Linked DNA regions of Oryctolagus cuniculus. The protein of the gene in region 2 purifies or fractionates together with the protein of the main gene of each other region. This does not show direct contact. Links are inferred from orthologs where the notes say so. Each region holds a gene or a part of one and is shown on either strand. Other genes may lie near its edges.

Region 1 (3,308 bases), on a different chromosome or scaffold from region 2:
GGTGAAATGGCTCCCTCATGCTAAGTGCGCAAAGGTGCAAATGACGTCAGCCAGCGTCACGGGGCCCCCGGTGGACCCCTGGACGGACCGCCTGGCTCCTGCCTTGGGGAGAAATCCGGCGGATGAAACTCTAACCCACGACCTCATCTGCAAACACGTGACTTCAGCTCCCGTCTCTGGGTCTCTCCCCCACGGGTGGCGGCGGCCGTTTCTTATGTCCACTTAGCCGTTTTATTACCAACGGAGACAGTCTCCTGCCCACGGGTCCACTCCCCGAACGCCCCAACAGCCAGGGCCAAGGCCAGAGCTGGAGCCAGGGCTGGGTGTGGGCCTCTGACACGTGGGTGTCCCGGCCGGCAGGGCCTCCCGGGGCTGGGGCGGGCGTCACAAGCCTGCCCCCGACGCCCACCAGGTCACTGCCCCGTCCACTGCGGGCCAGGAGCCCGGGCTCGGCGCCACCGCCGGCTCTGCTGAGGGAGCCCCCACCCCCGGAGGTCTGAGGACAGGGACCTGGCCGCCCCCACCCTCCCCGCCCCCAGTCAGGACAGAGTCCGTGCTCCCAGGGCCCTCCCAGGGCAGCGTGGGAGATGCCGCTCCTGGCCGTTCCTGCGGGTGCACCCTGGGGACAGCACCTGGCTGGTGGCCAGCGCCTCAGGGAGCCCAGGGCCCCTCCGCTTCCTTCCCGGCCGCACCCGTCCAGCCCCCTGCACCGGGCACCAGGCTTCCCGGGACCCTGGGCGTTCCAGGGCAGAGCGGCGCCAGCGCGGCGTCGGCCGAGCGAGAGGACGGAGCCCGGGCGCTGTGCATGGTCACCACTCCATTTATTCCTCCACGGCGCGCGCTGCAGGACGCGGCCCGCCTGCCCCTCCCGGCTCCGGGGAGACGAGCTGCGGGCGCCGCCCCCAACCTCTCGGCGCGACCCTCCTGGAACCCTGCACGTCCACGGTCCCGGAAGAAACGAAACGGGTCGGGCGCCCCCCGCGGCCCCTCGGCCGAGTCCCTGCGCAGAGGGCGCGCTGCCGCCCCGAGTCCGGAATAAATACGGGAGCCCGGAGCGCGGGGGCGGGCCGGCGGGGGCGGGGCGCCGGCGGGGCGGGCGGCCGGGCCCTACAACTTGTCCAGGAAGTTGTCCAGCGCCGGGATGCCCTCCTTCAGGCCCTTGCGCTTGCGCGTCTCGGCCACCACCTGGCTGGGGCGGCTGCTGTTGTCGAAGGGGTCGCCGGGCAGGATCTGCCAGTGGTCGAACACGCACTGCGGGAAGGCCTGGCCGCCCGTGTTGGAGCGCAGGTCGGCGGTGAAGCCTGGGGCGGAGGCAGGCGGGTCAGCAGGCCGGAGCTGCGGGCAGCGTCCCCTCGCGCCGGACAGTGCCCGCCGGGCCCGCGACGCTTGCCGCCCTCAGCCCGCCCCGCGCCAGGGCTCACCGAAGGACTCGTTGACGGGCAGGTAGGCCTTGACCACGAACATGGGCGTGCCGGCCACCTGCGACTCCTCGAACACGTGGCCGCGCTTCCGGTTCAGCACCCCGTAGATGCCCCCGACCACCTGCTCAGGGCACTGCGGGGAGAGGGGCCCGGGTTGCGGCGGGGGCGGGGGGCGGGGCGGGCGCGGGGCGGGGGCGGGGCAGGGGCGGGGCGGGGGGCGGGGCGCCGGCCTCACCTGGATCTCCACCAGGTAGATGGGCTCCATGAGGCGGGGCTGCGCGGTGAGCACGCTGGCGTAGAGGCAGCGCCGGGCCGTGGGGATGATCTGGCCGCCCCCGCGGTGGATGGCGTCGGCGTGCAGCGTCACGTCGTGCACGTCGAAGCGCACGCCCCGCATGTTCTCCTCGCACAGCGCGCCCTGGGGGAGGGGCGGGTCAGGGCGGCGCCGCTCTCCCCGCCCCCGGCCCCGCTCTCCCCGCCCCCCGGCCCCGCTCTCCCCGCCCCCCGGCCCCGCTCTCCCCGCCCCCCAGCCCCGCTCTCCCCGCCCCCGGCCCCCGCCCGGCCCCGCCCGCCTCACCTCCTTGGTGGCCCACTGGAAGCCGGCCACCACGCTGTCCTTGATCTCGTTGAGGTACTGCACCCCCTTGGTGATGTCGGTGAGGATGTTGGGGCCGGTGCCGTCGGGCCCGAAGCACCAGATCTTGCGGGCCTCGGCCACGTCCCACTCGTACTTCTCGGCCAGGTAGCGGGCCCGCTGCTTGAGCTCCTGGCGCGCGGACACCTCGCCCTTGTCGATGTCCTCGGCCAGGCCGTCGGGGAAGGGGCGCGCCTTCATGTACAGCCGGTTGTGCTTGTTGGGGGACTTGGAGAGGCACATCACGCTGGACTCCTCGCTCACCGTCTCGCGGTAGGACACCACCGGGTCGGATTTCTGCAGGCAGGCCGGCGGTCAGGCGCTGTGGGGCGGGGGGGGGACAGGGGCGGGGGGGACAGGGCAGGGGGGACAGGGGCGGGCAAGGACAGGGCAGGGGGGAGGACAGGGGCGGGGAGGACAGGGCGGGGGGGACAGGGGCGGGGGAGGACAGGGGCGGGGGGGACAGGGGCGGGGAGGACAGGGCGGGGGAGGACAGGGGCGGGGGAGGACAGGGGCAGGGGAGGACAGGGCGGGGGGGGGACAGGGGCGGGGGAGGACAGGGGTGGGGGAGGACAGGGCAGGGGGGACAGGGGCGGGGAGGACAGGGCGGGGGAGGACAGGGGCGGGGGGGGGACAGGGGTGGGGGAGGGCAGGGCGGGGGGGGGGACAGGGGCGGGGGAGGACAGGGGCGGGCATGGACAGGGCAGGGAGGACGGGGCGCGGCCCCGCACCTTGATGGGGATGCAGGCGTGGTCCTCCTCCAGGTCCTTGAGGCAGATCTCCAGGTGCAGCTCGCCGGCGCCCGCGATGATGTGCTCACCCGACTCCTCGATGATGCACTGCGGGCAGGGGCTCGGCACGTCAGCCGGCCCGGAGCCCCCTCCCCGCTCAGCCAGCCCGGAGCCCCCTCCCCGCTCAGCCAGCCCGGAGCCCCCTCCCCGCTCAGCCAGCCCGGAGCCCCCTCCCCGCTCAGCCAGCCCTGAGCCCCCTCCCCGCTCGGCCAGCCCGGAGCCCCCTCCCCCCGGCCCCGCCGCCCGCCCGGCCCCGCCGCCCACCTGCACCATGGGGTCCGACTTGGCCAGCCGCTTCAGGCCCTCCACCAGCTTGGGCAGGTCGGCCGGGTTCTTGGCCTCCACGGCCACGCGCACCACGGGGCTCACGCTGAACTTCATCACCCGCATGTTGTGGGCGTGCTCGAAGGTGGTGATGGTGCCCGTCTTCACCAGGAACTGGTCCACGCCCACCAGGCCCAC
Region 2 (5,170 bases):
ACCTTATTTTGCCTTTCAAGCTGCATCAAAATCCCAGGGAACACACCCCTTTAGATTACCAAATACTTACAGAATGTTGGAAATCCTATGTTAATTAACTCCAAATTAGAAACCTCAAAGTTATCATATCCATAGTAAATCACCGTGTAGATTCCTTACTAGTGACCAGCCAGCCAACAATCCAAAGACCCAGTACACTTGATCATGTCAAGTGAATACCTCCAAACTATGATTGTCAGCAATCTCCATGCTACTCATGGGTCACTAATACCACTATGAACCTCAAGAATAAAGCTTATTTGAAAATATGCTTTCCCCACCTTCCTGTATCTTAATTCTGATCATCTGTGGTCCACTTCTTATGTCAGGCTACAAATCCTTTACCAAACTGCTTTAGAAGAAATCTGTTAGAAATGGTGTTCTCACTTACATCAGGAAACCACTTTTTACGTTTTCTTAGGACCCTAGAAACCAGTGCTGTTTTACTAAAACTTCAAGTAATTTGGGAAACCAAAATTTAATGATTCTAACAAATTTACTTGTAGCTACACAATTTTATATGCAACATTTCATCCCTTAAGATTACAGAATTTTGCTTTCTAAACTAAATTACATGTCAACAGTTCTAACCAGCAGGGCTAACAGCCCTCCATAGCTTAAAACAAACAGGTGGGAAAAAATCCCTAACCCATGGAGTTTTAAAATTCCAGCCAATTCTAATTAGAAAAACCTGGAACACATTTGACAGGTCCAGTGTTGACAAGAAGACACAGGTTTCTCATTAAACTTTGTTTTAATGGGTCTCAAAATTCTGTGACAGATTTTTGGTCAAGTTGTTTCCATTAAAAAGTACTGATTTTAAAAACTAATAACTTAAAACTGCCACGCACAAAAAAAATGGTCCACAAAACATTCTCCTTTCCTTCTGAAGGTTTTACGATGCATTGTTATCATTAACCAGTCTTTTACTATTAAACTTAAATGGCCAATTGAGACAAACAGTTCTGAGACCGTTCTTCCACCACTGATTAAGACTGGGGTGGCAGGTATTAGGGGTAATATTCATTTAGCCTTCTGAGCTTTCTGGGCAGACTTGGTGACCTTGCCAGCTCCAGCAGCCTTCTTGTCCACTGCTTTGATCACACCCACAGCAACCGTCTGTCTCATATCACGGACAGCGAAACGACCTATTAAAACAAGTATTGAGTTGCCATGAGACACATAGTTCACAGAAGCAATTGTTAATCTTTAGTACAACTTGTAATAGCAATAAAAAAAAAAATCCTTACCCAGAGGAGGATAGTCAGAGAAGCTCTCAACACACATGGGCTTGCCGGGAACCATATCAACAATGGCAGCATCACCAGATTTCAAGAATTTAGGGCCATCTTCCAACTTCTTTCCAGAACGACGATCAATCTTTTCCTTCAGCTCAGCAAACTTGCAAGCAATGTGAGCTGTGTGACAATCCAGTACAGGGGCATACCCAGCACTGATCTGACCTGGATGGTTCAGGATGATCACCTGGGAAAAAAAGGATATGCATTTTAGTGCTTCTCAAACTGAACTGTGGTAACAGCTAGAAATGCTAACTCCCCTGATGTGATAACACTTCATACATGCATCAGATTGCTTACCCCCTTGAGTATGCATGAACATTGTCAATTAACAGATCATTTTAAATTGTTACCTGAGCAGTGAAGCCAGCTGCTTCCATTGGTGGGTCATTTTTGCTGTCACCAGCAACGTTGCCACGACGAACATCTTTGACAGACACGTTCTTGACATTGAAGCCCACATTGTCCCCAGGAAGAGCTTCACTCAAAGCTTCATGGTGCATTTCGACGGACTTGACTTCAGTTGTGACATTGACTGGAGCAAAAGTTACCACCATGCCAGGTTTGAGAACACCAGTCTCCACTCGGCCCACAGGGACAGTGCCAATACCTAAAATATTTGCAGATTACCAAAGAGTTATTGAGGGCCAAAGATTTTTCACCTGTTCCAATTCAAGTTATATTCTGATGTTACATTAATACCCAACTTACCACCAATTTTGTAGACATCCTGTAGGGGCAGACGCAGAGGCTTGTCAGTTGGTCTAGTTGGTGGAAGGATGCAGTCCAGGGCTTCAAGCAGTGTGGTTCCACTGGCATTGCCATCTTTGCGGGTGACTTTCCATCCCTTGAACCACGGCATCTGAAACACAAGAGAACAATTAATTCTATCACATCACCACTTCCAGCTCTTTAACAAGCACTGTCTTGAAAGTCACTTACATTAGCACTTGGCTCCAGCATGTTGTCACCGTTCCAACCAGAAATTGGCACAAATGCTACTGTGTCAGGGTTGTAGCCAATTTTCTTAATGTAGGTGCTGACTTCCTTAACGATTTCCTCGTATCTCTTCTGGCTGTAGGGTGGCTCAGTGGAATCCATCTTGTTAACACCAACAATTAGCTGTTTCACACCCAGCGTGTAAGCCAGAAGGGCATGCTCACGGGTCTGCCCGTTCTTGGAGATACCAGCTTCAAATTCCCCGACACCAGCAGCAACAATCAGGACGGCACAGTCAGCCTTTAAAGAAATCAAGGACACACACTGTGAACGAAGGTACCTCAAACCTAAGGAGGAACTCACCCACCCCCCGCCTAGAAAACCTTATGTCTACAGTTACTAGTTGCACAAACCTGAGATGTGCCTGTAATCATGTTTTTGATGAAGTCTCTGTGTCCTGGGGCATCAATGATAGTCACGTAATACTTGCTGGTCTCAAATTTCCACAGGGAGATGTCGATGGTGATACCACGCTCACGCTCGGCTTTCAGTTTATCCAAGACCCAGGCATACTTGAAGGAGCCCTTTCCCATCTGTAATTACACAGAGCACTCAGACGGTTACTAAGACACAGCAAAGCTTGAAACCCCATGCCCCCCTCCGCTTGGGAATGCATTCCGCTTCCCAAACTGCTGGGCCTAGGTGGCTCTCCAGTCGATATGGTGGCTCGTGATTTTAACATTCACATTCAGACAACTAATCACTGTTGTCTTTTATAGTCATAGCACTCTCATTTTAGTGGCCAGACTTAATGTAATTCAGCATCTTTCCCTTGCGATACTGGACATACCTCGGCAGCCTCCTTCTCAAATTTTTCAATGGTTCTTTTGTCGATGCCACCACATTTGTAGATCAGATGGCCAGTGGTGGTGGACTTGCCCGAATCTACGTGGCCAATGACGACGATGTTGATGTGAGTCTTTTCCTTTCCCATTTTGGCTTTGATTTAGCGGTGGTTTTCACGACACCTAAAATGGAAAAAGGGGGGGAACCTTTGAACCACTGTCCGAGGGTTGAGACTAAGCCACGTTCAAAACTCAAAAGGGCAAATTCCAAGGAGAATTACATCCAATGCCAAGCTGGCCTAACTCTTCAGTCTCCACCCACCGAGTGAGTTAACTCCATCGCCTAAAAAATCTCCGCCCCCAGCCGAGCCAAGCCGAACTCCAAAGGCCACACGAAGAAGCCAGGTGCCCAGACGGCGCCCTGTACCCCGTGGGGTCGCAGGAAGCGGCGGCCGAAGAGGGGAAGGCTCTTTTCCTTTGTGTGGGTGACTCACCCGCCCGCTCTCCCGGGCCACCGCGTCCTCCATTTTGAGCTCCCTGCAGCGGGGACGGCGAGCGGCCATCTTTTTCCGCGCACGCAACTGGTGCCGAGCGGGCCGGGCTCCGCCGCCCGGGGTGGGGCGGCCGCGGCCCCACCGAGCCGCCCGCCCCACGACCCTCGCCTCTCCCCTCGCCCGGCCTGGGCAGGCGCGGCGCCGTCGGGCCTCGCCCAGGCCGCGCCCGACATGTGCGCCCGGACGGGCGGGCCCCGCCGCTCGCTGTCCCTACGCCGCGCGGCCGCCCTGCCACCCCCTCGGGCCGGACGACGAACGCGCGGGGTAGCCCGCCCGGCCTCGGCGGGCCCATCTCGACGAACAAAAAAAGAGCCGTACCGATCCACGTAAAAACTCAAAGGGCCGAAGGGCCCCGCGAGCGAGGCTAGCCAGGCCGGCGCGAAGGCGAGAGGACTCGCACGCGGCGGCCACGCCAGGCCTCAACTCCAGCACGAGGAAGAGGCTCCTGGAAAACGCGCAAACCTCCAACCCTCCCGCCCCGTTACAGCCCGAAATTCGGAGCCAGGAACCTCGTCAAGAGGCTCAGTGGCATGGCAGTGTCCCCGAGCACGCGAGGGCCCCAGCCCGCTCAAGGCCAGACCCGCGGAAGCCACACCCGACACTCACCTGTGTTCTGGCGGCAAACCCGTTGCGAAAAAGAACGTCCAGGGCGACTACGGCACTTATATACGGTTCTCCCCCACCCTCGGGAAGAGGGCGGAGTCAGCACACGACACCGCTTTCCCAGTTTGCCCCGCGCCACCTCCACTAGGCACCGGTTCAATCGCCGTCCCCTCCCCCAACGCCTCGGGGACCGTGGGCGATGTGCGCTCCGACCACTGACGAGCACACAGCGCCTCGCGCATGCTCGCCTCGGTCCCGGTGACGACGAGCGCGAGGGGTAGGGGGCGGGGACGCGGCGATCTCTCGGTTCTAGGGTAACGGGAGTTTAGCGACGGTCCCTGGGCTTCCCCGAGACTGAGGCGAGTCCTCTTTTGTATGAATTACTCTGGGCTCTGGCGGCGAGAGGTGGGGGGAGGGCGGCGGCGAGGGCACCTCCGGGGTCTTCCACTCTCCCCGCTGCACCGCAGAGGTATCGAGGTTCGGGGTGTCTTCCCGCCCAGTCCTCAGCCTTGGCGCCTCGCTGGTCTGAGAGGAAGCCCCGGAGCCTCTTCCTCTGTGGATCACGGCCGGGTCCTGCTGCTCCCTCGCCTCTGCCTTCTGCGCCCCTCCGGTCGGGAGAGGCGTGCAAGGCCCCGGGACTCGGGGCAGCGCGGGGCTAAGGGCTCGGGGAGCGAGAAGCCGGGAGGGGCTCTGCCCGATGGCCGCGAGCACCACGCATCTGCTCCTGGGCTCGTTCCACCAAAGCCTGTCGCCTTTCTGGACGCCCGTGATACAAGTCGCCGCCTGGGGTTCTCCAGATGTTGGGTGTTTCAGTTTAGAACAGACTTCAGTCCTACCGTTAGCTGTACTTCTAATCCTGGTTTTGTTGGGCTAAGACTCTGGAAGAGAGTTC

What was found. Proteins that work in one complex are often made in the same cells at the same time.
Region 1: the proteins of EEF1A1 (region 2) and EEF2 fractionate together in Homo sapiens (co-fractionation; 3 studies listed by BioGRID). This does not show direct contact. The link is inferred for Oryctolagus cuniculus from reciprocal best matches to the Homo sapiens genes EEF1A1 and EEF2.

The regions. Positions count from the first base shown.
Region 1 is NC_091447.1:59,309,987-59,313,294, reverse strand, and holds the end of EEF2 (elongation factor 2), read right to left. Parts: coding exon 3,111-3,308; intron 2,895-3,110; coding exon 2,787-2,894; intron 2,353-2,786; coding exon 1,999-2,352; intron 1,840-1,998; coding exon 1,657-1,839; intron 1,555-1,656; coding exon 1,422-1,554; intron 1,302-1,421; coding exon 1,108-1,301; 3' UTR 805-1,107; downstream 1-804. UniProt on the Homo sapiens protein: Catalyzes the GTP-dependent ribosomal translocation step during translation elongation.
Region 2 is NC_091436.1:99,027,243-99,032,412, reverse strand, and holds EEF1A1 (elongation factor 1-alpha 1), read right to left. Parts: upstream 3,299-5,170; 5' UTR 3,271-3,298; coding exon 3,127-3,270; intron 2,870-3,126; coding exon 2,690-2,869; intron 2,577-2,689; coding exon 2,280-2,576; intron 2,200-2,279; coding exon 2,049-2,199; intron 1,948-2,048; coding exon 1,691-1,947; intron 1,525-1,690; coding exon 1,290-1,524; intron 1,188-1,289; coding exon 1,063-1,187; 3' UTR 778-1,062; downstream 1-777. UniProt on the Homo sapiens protein: Translation elongation factor that catalyzes the GTP-dependent binding of aminoacyl-tRNA (aa-tRNA) to the A-site of ribosomes during the elongation phase of protein synthesis.